Anolis sagrei: one gene and its partners. The protein of the gene in region 3 purifies or fractionates together with the protein of the main gene of each other region. This does not show direct contact. Links are inferred from orthologs where the notes say so. Each region holds a gene or a part of one and is shown on either strand. Other genes may lie near its edges.

Region 1 (3,748 bases), on a different chromosome or scaffold from region 3:
TCATGACGTAATTTGACGTTCAATAGGTTTTTCCTTAATCCCTTCTTACTATCCAACATTTTCGCTGATCCAACGTTCTGCTGGCCCATTTATGTTGGATAAGCAAGACTCTACTGTACTTACTATGGGACTTGAGCACCCACAGATTTTTGGTATCCACTGGGGGAACCTGAAACCAAAGTCCAGCAGAAAAACATCAACTACCTCTCCTTCAGGGTTTAATACAGTGTGAAGGTGCAAAAGAAACTCATTTTACAGAGGGCAAGTTTAACTGGAGCATTTATACCCACCCCACCTTCAGATAGAAAGGCTTACTCCATCCTTCAACCGGAAAGACTCTTAGGACCCTTCCAGACAGGCCCTATATCCCAGGATCCGATGCCAGTTTTTCTGCTTTAAGATAGATTATACGAGTCCACACTACCAGATAATCTGGGATAAACAGACAACCTGGGATCGGATCCTGGGATATAGGGCCTGTCTGAAAGGGCCCTCGGATCAGCTCCCAAATTGTTAATTTGACAGTTTCCTGCACTTAGGTTTACAATTTCAGAGTCCTACCATACTGCACAGTTGTAGCACTACTATTCTGCTTTAACTACCATGGCAAAACCCTGTGGAATTATGGGGTTTGTAGTCCTCTGGCTGAGAATTCTGAATGTCCTTACTTAAACTACAAATCCCAGAATCCCACACTATGGGTGGCTCCACAGTGGCCTTTTTAACCACCATGGAATCATGGGAGCTGTAGTTTAATAGGGGACCAAGCTCTTTTGCAGAAAAGGCTAAGGACCTTTCAAAACTACAATCCCTATGATTATTTAGCATAGAGCCATGGCACTTAGTGTGCCTCTACTACATTGTAGAATCAATGCAGCTCAGCACTAGAATTGATGCAGTGTGATCTCATGCTATGGCTCAATGCTATGAAATCGTGGGAGTTGTAGTTTGGTGAGGCACAAGCACTCTTTGGCAAAGAAGGCCAAAGACTTCACAAAATATACATATAACTCCCATTATTCCATGGCATTGAGCCAGGGCAGTTTAAAACGGCACCAAATTGCATTAATTCTGTAATATCAGTGGTGTCAGACACACCCTATGTCACCATGGCAGCTAGGGTGGAATAATAGTGCTGTAAAAACCTAGATACGACCCTAAGCAGAGAAGTGTTGTCCTCTAAGGATTTGAGTGCAACGCATGATATCTGCACTGTAGAATGAATGCAGCTGGAATGCCATGGCTCCATGTTATGGGATCATGGAAATTGTACTTTTAATAAGGTCTTTAGCCTTTTCTGCCAAAAGTTTGATCTGGGCTACTAAATGCCATGATTCCATAGGACCACTCAGTGGCACAGCGGGTAAAATCACTGAGCTGCTGAACTTGCTGATCAAAAGGTCGGTGGTTCAAATCCGGGGAGCGGGGTGAGCTTCCGCTGTTAGCCCCAGCTTCTAGGCCTGGGCAATGCATGGTTCTAAAGTACTTACAAAACTAAAGTTCTGGTGGTGAAAATTTCAGAACTCTAACAAAAGTTTCAAATTTTAATTATTATTTCATTATTGGTGATTTTTATGATAGAACCAATTAAGAACTGCCATTTATAATGAAATTTTGAGAGTTTTGAAATTTTCACCACCAGAACTTTAGTTTTGTATGTACTTTAGAACCATTTAGAGCCATACATTGCCCAGGCTTACCAGCTTCTGCCAACCTAGCAGTTCGAAAACATACAAATGTGATCAATAGTTACCACTCCAGCAGGACGGTAATAGCGCTCCATGCAGTCATGCTGGCCACATGACCTTGGAGGTGTCTATGGACAACACCGGTTCTTCGGCCTAGAAATTGAGATGAGCACCAACACCCAGAGTTGGGCACGACTGGACTTTATATCAAGGGGAAACCTCTACCTTTACCCGAGTGTTGAGAAACTCACCAAACTACAACTCCCATGATTCTCAATGCTATGAAACTTGGGAGTTGTAGTTTGGTGAAGTCAGTGGCACAGTGGGTTAAAGCATTGAGCTGCTGAGCTTGTTGACTGAGAGGTCACAGGTTCGATTCCGGGTTGAGCTTCCGCTGTCAGCCCCAGCTTCTGCCAACCTAGCAGTTCGAAAGCATACAAATGTGATCAATAGGTACCACTCCAGTGGGAAGGTAACAGCGCTCCATGCAGTCATGCTGGCCACATGACCTTGGAGGTGTCTAGAGACAACGCCAGCTCTTCGGCTTAGAAATGGAGATGAGCACCAACACCCAGTCGGACACGACTGGACTTAATGTCAAGGGGAAATGTCTACCTTTACCCGAGTGTTTGGAAACTCACCAAACTACAGCTCCCATGATTCTCAATGCTATGAAACCTGGGAGTTGTAGTTTGGTGAGGTCGTTTAGGCTAAAGTACAACTCCCTTGATCTACATTGACCTATGGCAGTTCCAAACTGCATTAATTCTACAGTGGGCAAATTTCGGCCCTCCAGGTGTTTTGGACTTCAACTCCCACGATTCCTAACAGCTAGTAAGCTGCCTGGGATTTCTGGAAGATGAAGTCCCTAACACCTGGAGGGGCCAAGTTTGCCCATGCCTGGTGTAGATGCAAGGCTGGGTGGCACCTTTGCAAGACGGGGGGGGGGGGGGGGGCTTAACCTCCAAAGGCGTGCTGAAGGCCCGGGCTGCTCCAAGGGCAGGAAGTTCAAGCCATTGCAATGCTCTTCAGAGCAAAAATGCAACGGGAGAATGCAGCACCCTCCTTGCTTTGGCTTCAAGGGGCTGAAATCTAGGCACGGGTTCCTGGGACGATCTCGCGCTTACCGAAGGCTTCAGCACCCTTCGCAGCGCTCCAGCCGCAGCAGCCATGTTCAGCTCCGGAGGCAGAAGGAAGGGGCACGTGGAAGCGGAGGGGCGGGGCCACCACATTTAGTAGCCCAGAGGCTACTGTCTCTTTAAGAGCAGCCTGAGACCATCTCCCTTAAAGGGCCCTTCCACACAGCCATAGACCCAGAATATCAAGGCAGAAAATTCCACAATCTCTGCTTTGAACTGGGTTACCTGAGTCCACACTGCCCTATATCCCCGTTCAAAGCAGATAATGTGGGGTTTTATTCAGCTGTATTGTTGTTGTTCATTCGTTCAGTCGTGACCTCATGGACCAGCCCATGCCAGAGCTCCCTGTCGGCTGTCACCACCCCCAGCTCCTTCAAGGTCACTTCAAGCATGCCATCCATCCATCTTGCCCTTGGCCCCTCTTCCTTTTTCCTTCCATTTTCCACAGCATTTTGGTCTTCTCTAAGCTTTCCTTTCTTCTCATGATGTGGCCAAAGTACTTCATCTTGGCCTCTTCTATTCCTCCCTCCAATGAGCTTGTTGTTGTTCATTCGTTCAGTCGTTTCCAACTCTTTGTGACCTCATGGACCAACCCACGCCCGAGCTCCCTGGCGGCCGTCACCACCCCCAGCTCCTTCAAGGTCAATCCAGTCACTTCAAGCATGCCATCCATCCATCTTGCCCTTGGTCGGCTCCTCTTCCTTTTTCCTTCCATTTTCCCCAGCATCATTGTCTTCTCTAAGCTTTTCTTTCTTCTCATGATGTAGCCAAAGTACTTCATCTTGACCTCTTCTATTCTTCCCTCCAATAAGCTTGTTCTTGTTGCTCATTTGTTCAGTCGTTTCCAACTCTTCGTGACCTCATGGACCAGCCCATTCTAGAACTCCCTGTCTGCCGTCGCCACCCCCAGCTCCTTCAAGG
Region 2 (3,748 bases), on a different chromosome or scaffold from region 3:
CAAGAAGGAAATGCCAGGACAGCACAGAGCCCTAAAAGTAAGAGAAGAGACACTGTAACTGGAAAGAAAAATGGGTGGGTGAAATGGGTGAACATACAGAAAATCAGCAGTGCCAACACCATACCTGTGTCATCTTCTCTCTGTTGGCTTTGGGATTCAATGGAGCTTCTGTAAGCAGCACAGGGTGTTCCTCTGGAGCAACACGGAGCTCGTTGTAGAAAGTATGATGCCAGATTTTCTCCATGTCATCCCAGTTGGTGACAATGCCATGTTCAATAGGGTACTTCAGGGTCAGGATACCTCTCTTACTTTGAGCCTCATCTCCTACATAGCTATCTTTCTGGCCCATACCAACCATGACACCCTATAGAAAGAGGAGGCAAAGAAAAAAGCTCAGCTTGTGCTTTTAGGCGTTAAACAGCCTATAACTTCAACCACACAGACAAAACCCTTCATCAGCTAGCTTGCTTGCTCGGCTATTTACCTGGTGGCGAGGGCGCCCAACAATTGAGGGGAACACAGCACGAGGAGCATCATCTCCAGCGAAGCCTGCTTTGCACATACCAGATCCATTGTCAATGACAAGTGCTGCAATTTCTTCTTCCATTTTTATATCTGCTTTTAAAAATGAGGGAAAAAATCATTAAGGAACATTTAACACACCTCACATTCTGGTATAGTGCCCTACTCCCTCCCCCGCTCGCTCCTCAGGCACTGCAGCATCTGGCCACTAGGGGCTGCTCTGGCAGCCTGCCAGCCATTCTGAGGACCCCACCCTCTTGGGCTGCTTTTCTAGACTCATTCATTTCCTCCCTCCACAGACCATCAGCAGGCAGCAGACATTCTCCTCTCTCTCTGCCTTCAATATACACCTTGAAAATTAGTAGCTCAACTTTTAGTCTTAGTTAAGAGCCCCACAAATCAAGCCTAAATGGCTGTCGATGTGCTATGCTATTGGCCCTAGCTATTGAAAATTTAGCTGCAAAAGGCCCACCCTGCCAAAACCAAAAGGAAAAAGAGACACATTTCTCACAACACATGCCAATCTCCAGAACTCAAAGGAGAAAAAAACGAATGACACACCATCACATATCCAAGAGTGAAATTTCTTTGAATCCACTCAGGACACAAAAGACCAGTTTTAGACAAAATGCCACCAAGCCCCGCCCAGTGAACTTTAAGCAAGCAGCCCCCTAGAAAACATTTAAATGAAGGAAAAGGGTAGGATGGGGGCAAAAAACCAATACTCGGCTCTTAAAAACGTCCCCCACCCTTTGCTGCAACCCCCCTCCGATTGGATTGAAACCAAGACGTCTAGACCAGGCATGGGCAAACTTTGGCCCTCCTGGTGTTTCAGACTTCAACTCCCACCATTCCTAACACCCTCAGGCCCTTTTCTTTCCCCCTTAAGCCGCTTAAGCGAAAAGGAAAGAAAGGAAAGGGCCTGAGGCTGTTAGGAATGGTAGGAGTTGAAGTCTGAAACACTTGGAGGGCCAAAGCTTGCCAATGTGTGGACTACACTGCAGAATTCGCGCATCTCGACAACGCCACTAAAAACCATACTCCCGTGATCCCACAGCATCGAACCATTACAGTGAAAATGGGGGCCGACCTGCATGCACTCCGTAGTGTCATTGCCCCCCCTCTCTCCCTCCCTGAACTGCCTCCCTTTTCGAATAGATTTTACAATGGTCTCCTTTCCCGCCCAGTGACGTCAGCGCCCTCGCCCGGCCAATCCGGCGCCAGCTGCCCTCGGCCCTGCCCAATCACGAGAACCGTTGCGGGCTCGCGAGGAGGGGGGGTTCGCGCGAGCCAAGCCGGCCGCGAGGAAACCGCCTTCCCTTTTTCAAGGCGCCCCTCGGAAGCCGTTAGCGGCTCGAGACGAGGAGGCGGCGGGAAAGGGGCTTAACGCCCACGCTCTTTAAATCATAAACCGCTTCCTATCTTTACAGGCACACTCATGTCCAATCTAGAATTTTTTAAATAAAGTATATACTTTTCGCATCCGTTTTGGACAAAACCAGTAACAGCTGCATATAAAATATTAATAGAAAAAGGCAAGGTGTGGGGGGGGGGGCGTGAGGAGGGGGACGTGACCTACCTGCAAGGAGGCGGAAGCTTCAAAAGGTCAGGAGACAAGAGAGAGGAGCCGATCGTGCTAGATCCGCTGCCGCCGGCTGAGTGAGACCGAGCGAACGCCAGCCCCGCCCCTTTTATACCCAGGGGGGCGGCGGCCCCCGCCTGGCCGGCCGAGAACATCGCCATATATGGAGATCTTTCAGAAACATGCGCTCCCATTGGCTGGGCCGGGCCGGGCCACGTGGGGCAGGCGAAAGCGGCTCGGCCACGCCCCCCTCCTCCGAAGCCCCGGAACCTGGATGCGCGCAACGAGGGCGAGCTGGAGGAGGGGGTGGGCAAGGCCAGGCTCAGAGCCCCTCTCTCAGTCCTCGCCCTTAGGGTGGCTTCTCTAGAAGACTTTCCACCCAGAAGAATCCTCCACCTTGTGCGACTGGGGAGCAGAACAGGCCACTCCGTATCTGTATGCGTGTCCACAGTGCCCTGCCTGATGCTCAGAGGAAGAACTGTTTAAAGTATTTTGAAGGCCTCTCCCCCACTCCCAAAATACAGTCGAGAACATGTCTACACTCTCACATGGGGACTAGGGCTGTGTCAGGCCCATAGCCAGAATTTTGATTTGGGGGGGGGGCTGAGTTTGATGGGGGGGGGGGGCTGAGTCTGAGTGAAAGAGGGTCTGGTCTACCCTAGCAAACTTTTTGTATCCTTACCCCAATACCCCCATGCATATGGGATATATTGAGCATGGTGATCAGATCATGATATGAATAAACAGAACAGTTTAAGTAATGCACCAGTAAGGCCTTTTCGCGAACCACCATGAGAATTTCGGGGGGGGGGGGGGGGCTGAAGCTCCCCAAGCGCCCCCCTCCCCTGGCTACATGCTTGGGCTGTGTGTTTATGTGGACTCCTCTGAGGGCTACTCTCAGGTCTCCTATTGTGGAGGTTGCTTGCCTTTGCCCTACGGCCACCATTTTGTAGCCAAGGTGCATGAGGCCTGCCTACAAGTTGAGCAGTTGAACGGGAGACCTCACAATCTCTGAGAATTCCCACCATACATGCAGGCGAAACGTCAGTAGAGAATGCTTCTGGAACACCTATGGTGGAGGTCGCTTGCCTGTGCCCTATGGCCACCATTTTGTAGCCAAGACGCATGAAGCCTGGCTACAAGTTGAGTGGTTGAGGGGGAGACCTCACAATCTCTGGGGATGCCCGCCATACATGCAGGCGATAATGTTTCTGGAACATGGCCATGTAGCCCAAAAAACCTACAACAACTGCCATGGCTCAATCCTATGGGATAATGGGAGTCATCGTTTGGTGAGGCGCCGGTGCTCTTTGTCAGAGAAGGTGAAAGACCTTGGAAAACTACAGAACCCAGGAATCCATAGCCTTGGAGTGGTATCAAACCACATTAATTCTACAGTGTGGATATACTTTGTTGTTACATAGGGCAAATATTTACATATGGCTCCGGTTTGCACCTCAGTGCCCATAATCCCTACACAGTATGGGAGGAAGCAAGGGATTATGGCGGTTGTAGTCAGGGTGCCACAGCCCTGCCCTGCTAGGAAATGTTGAATCAATGCACTAGCCTTTCTACATCATAAGGCAGACTTGGTGTCTCTCTCCTGAAGTACCTGTAATTTGCAGCCTTGAGTCTCCCCAGGGG
Region 3 (3,748 bases):
TTGAGGGAATGTGATCTGGTTTACAAAGTTTGAGGACCCCTACAATAACTAAAACAAATATAAACATATTAGTATTTCAATAGGAAGTGTGGGCCTGCTTTTGGCTGATGAAATAGGATAGTTGTTGTTGTTGTGTGCTTTCAAGTCGTTTCAGACTTAGGTTGACTCTGAGTGAGGGCCGGGTAAATGACCTTGGAGGGCCGTATGCGGCCCCTGGGCCATAGTTTGAGGCCCCCTGATCTAGACACTAGACTCCTATGAATGCAGGCCAAAATCCCTCTAGAATCATAGAATCAAAGAGTTGGAAGAGACCTCATGGGCCATCCAGTCCAACCCCCTGCCAAGAAGCAGGAATATTGCATTCAAATCACCCCTGACAGATGGCCATCCAGCCTCTGTTTAAAAGCTTCCAAAGAAGGAGCCTCCACCACACTCCATGGCAGAGAGTTCCACTGCTGAATGGCTCTCACAGTCAGAAAGTTCTTCCATATGTTCAGATGGAATCTCCTTTCTTGTAGTTTGAAGCCATTGTTCTTGCTCCCTCCTCCCTATGACTTTCTCTCACGTATTTATACATGCCTATCATGTCTCCTCCTTCTCTTCTTCAGGCTAAACATGCCCAGCTCTTTAAGCCGCTCCTCATGGGGCTTGTTCTGCAGGCCCTTGATCATTTTAGTCACCCTCCTCTGGACACATTCTAGCTTGTCATTATCTCTCTTCAATTGTGGTGCCCAGAATTAAGACTCAATATTCCAGGTGTGTTCTAACCAAGGCAGAATAGAGAGGTAGCATGACTTCCCTGGATCTAGACACTAGACTCCTATGGATGCAGGCCAAAATCCCTCTGATCCTGCAAAGGGAAAGCATCCTTCAGAATCCAAGTAGGGAAGGATGAGGCTGGATCTACCCTACCATATGACCCAGAATCTGATCCAATTTGGAATTGGATTATATGAGTCTACACTGCCAGATAATCTAGAATCAGATCCTGGGATATAGAGCAGTTCCAGGCGAGAAGCAGCCAAAGGGAGAGACTAATATTTACCTGTTGCACACTGGCCACTTTCATGTAGGAGACCAAAACCAGGAGCAAAGGCACGTGGATGTTTTTGCCACGGAATAACCTGCCACCTGGGTGAAAGAAGAGAAGGGGGGAAAGATCAGGAAAGAGGAATCCCTTGTCAGCTTTCCCTAGAGCAGTGGTTCTCAACCGTCCTAATGTCGTGACCCCTTAATGCAATTCCTGATGTTGTGGTGACCCCCAACCATCACATTATTTTCTTTGCTACTTCGTAACTGTCATTTTGCTACTGCTTTGAATTGTAATGTATATATCTGATATGCAGGATGTATTTTCATACCCGATACATCCAAATTTGAATACTGGTGGGGTTGGAGGAATTGATTTTGTCATTTGGGAGTTGTAGTTTCTGGGATTGATAGTTCACCTACAATCAAAGAGCATTCCGAACTCCACCAATGATGGAATTGAACCAAACTTAGCACACAGAACTCCCATGATCAACAGATAATACTGGAAGGCCTTGGAGGGCCCTTGACCTTGAGTTTAGGAGTTGTAGTTCACCTATATCCAGAGAGCACTGTGGCTTTTAAAAAATGATGGATCTGGAGCAAACTTGGCACAAATACTCAATTTACCCAAATGTGAACACTGGTGTAATTTGGAGAAAATAGACCTTGACATTTGGGAGTTGTAGTTGCTGGGAATTATAGTTTACCTACAATCAAAGAATATTCTGAACTCCACCAACAATGGAATTGAGCCAATCTTGGCACACAGAACTTCTATGACCAACAGAAAATACTGGAAGGGTTTGGTGTGCATCAACCTTGATTATGGGAGTCGTAGTTCACCTACACCCAGAGAGCACTGTGGACCCAAACAATGATGGATCTGGACCAAACTTGGCATGAATACTCAATAGGCCTAAATGGTGGAGTTTGGGGAAAATAGACCTTGACATTTGGGAGTTGTAGTTGCTACAATTTATAGTTCATCTACAATCAAAGGAAATTCTAAACCCCATCAACAACAGATTTGGGCCAGAGTCCCATAAGGAACCCTCATGACCAACAGAAAATACTGTGTCCTCAGGGGTCCCGACCCCCAGGTTGAGAAACACTGCTCTAGAGGGAAGAGAAGCCCCCTTTTTACCGCTTGGCAGGGAGGCGAGGGAGAGAAGGTCCTGCAGGATCTGCACCAGGGTCTCGATCTGCTTCCCTTCCTGGACGTTCTTCAGGCGGACGATGAGTTTCCTTAAGGCGGCTTCTCGCCTCTCCTCGTCCTTCTCCTCTTCCTCGCAGGCTGGCACCCCCTCAGTGGCCATGGCTGCCTTCCCACTAAGGGCCAAGATGCCCAGGAGTCGCCTCCCGCCAGTAAACAAATCTTTTGAGTCAGCAGAGGAAGCGGCGGGTTGTTTGGAAGTCGCCTCTCCCCCCGCTTGGCTTGACTTTCCTTTCCAAGCTTGGTGGGTGCAATGCGCGCCGCGGCCAGAGGTGGCGCTAGAGGGAGACGAAATCCCCGCGGGGGCTTTGACGCGCAGCTCCCTTTGCCAATCCCGCACAAGCCCCTCTTTTGCAACTTCCTCCCTTACTAAAGTAACCCCCTTCTCGTCCAATATGGGAATATTACACCACTTGCTCCTTCCAGGGAAGGAAGTCTGTATAGGAGGAAGGGGTGGGGAAGGAAAGTCCGCATTTGTGGCTCAAATCAGGGCTTTCCGTTCCCTCTTGGAAAAGGGGCAGCCCAAGGTTTCAGTTTCATGGTCACGAGTTTGAAAGCAAAAGGCAAAAACAAAACAGATTGGAAGATGAAGAAGTCCCTTAAGTAGTGGGAGGTGGACACTGTCTTTTGCAACACAGGGCCCTTCTATATCCCAGGATTTGATCCCAAGTTTATCCCGGATTATCTGGCAGTGTGGACTCATATAATCCGGTTTAAAACAGAAAACCTGGGATATAGGGCCTGTCTAAAAGGTCCCTTCTACACGACCGTATAAAATCCAGATTATCTGCTTTGAAATTGATTAAATAGTGTAGACCATATTATCCAGTCCAATGTGGATTATCTGCTTTGATAATCTAGATCAGGGATCCTCAAACTTTTTAAGCAGAGGGCCAGGTCACAGTCCCTCAAACTGTTGGAGGGCCGGATTATAATGTATTGTCGAAGGCTTTCATGGCCGGAATCACTGGGTTGTTGTAGGTTTTTCGGGCTATATGGCAATGTTCTAGAGGCATTTTCTCCTGACGTTTCGCCTACATCTATGGCAAGCATCCTCAGAGGTAGTGAGGTCTGTTGGAACTAGGAAAATGGGTTTATATATCTGTGGAATGACCAGGGTGGGACAAAGAACTCTTGTCTGCTGGAGCTAAGTGTGAATGTTTCAACTGACTACCTTGATTAGCATTTAATGGCTTGAAAGTGCCTGGGGGGAATCTTTTGTTGAGAGGTGATTAGATGTCCCAGACTGTTTCCCTTCTGTTGTTTTGCTTTTTCCTAGTTCCAACAGACCTCATTACCTCTGAGGATGCTTGCCATTCATGCAGGCAAAACGTCAGGAGAAAATGCCTCTAGAACATGGCCATATAGCCCGGAAAAACCTACAACAACCCAGTGATTCCGGCCATGAAAGCCTTTAACAATATGATGAAGAAGTCCCTAAAGTAGAGGGAGGTGGACACTGTCTTTTGCAACACAGGACCCTTCTATATCCCAGGATTTGAT

The links.
Region 1: the proteins of LRRK2 (region 3) and PRDX3 purify together in Homo sapiens (co-immunoprecipitation; 3 studies listed by BioGRID and IntAct, with this or other methods). This does not show direct contact. The link is inferred for Anolis sagrei from reciprocal best matches to the Homo sapiens genes LRRK2 and PRDX3.
Region 2: the proteins of LRRK2 (region 3) and ACTG1 purify together in Homo sapiens (affinity purification with mass spectrometry; 3 studies listed by BioGRID and IntAct, with this or other methods). This does not show direct contact. The link is inferred for Anolis sagrei from reciprocal best matches to the Homo sapiens genes LRRK2 and ACTG1.

The regions. Positions count from the first base shown.
Region 1 is NC_090023.1:202,461,113-202,464,860, reverse strand, and holds the start of PRDX3 (thioredoxin-dependent peroxide reductase, mitochondrial), read right to left. Parts: upstream 2,917-3,748; 5' UTR 2,861-2,916; coding exon 2,816-2,860; intron 1-2,815. UniProt on the Homo sapiens protein: Thiol-specific peroxidase that catalyzes the reduction of hydrogen peroxide and organic hydroperoxides to water and alcohols, respectively. Plays a role in cell protection against oxidative stress by detoxifying peroxides.
Region 2 is NC_090022.1:131,820,202-131,823,949, forward strand, and holds the start of ACTG1 (actin, cytoplasmic 2), read right to left. Parts: upstream 2,211-3,748; 5' UTR 2,102-2,210; intron 619-2,101; exon of another isoform or gene 616-618; 5' UTR 608-615; coding exon 485-607; intron 365-484; coding exon 125-364; intron 1-124. UniProt on the Homo sapiens protein: Actins are highly conserved proteins that are involved in various types of cell motility and are ubiquitously expressed in all eukaryotic cells.
Region 3 is NC_090025.1:82,029,509-82,033,256, reverse strand, and holds the start of LRRK2 (leucine-rich repeat serine/threonine-protein kinase 2), read right to left. Parts: upstream 2,513-3,748; 5' UTR 2,349-2,512; coding exon 2,177-2,348; intron 1,132-2,176; coding exon 1,046-1,131; intron 1-1,045. UniProt on the Homo sapiens protein: Serine/threonine-protein kinase which phosphorylates a broad range of proteins involved in multiple processes such as neuronal plasticity, innate immunity, autophagy, and vesicle trafficking.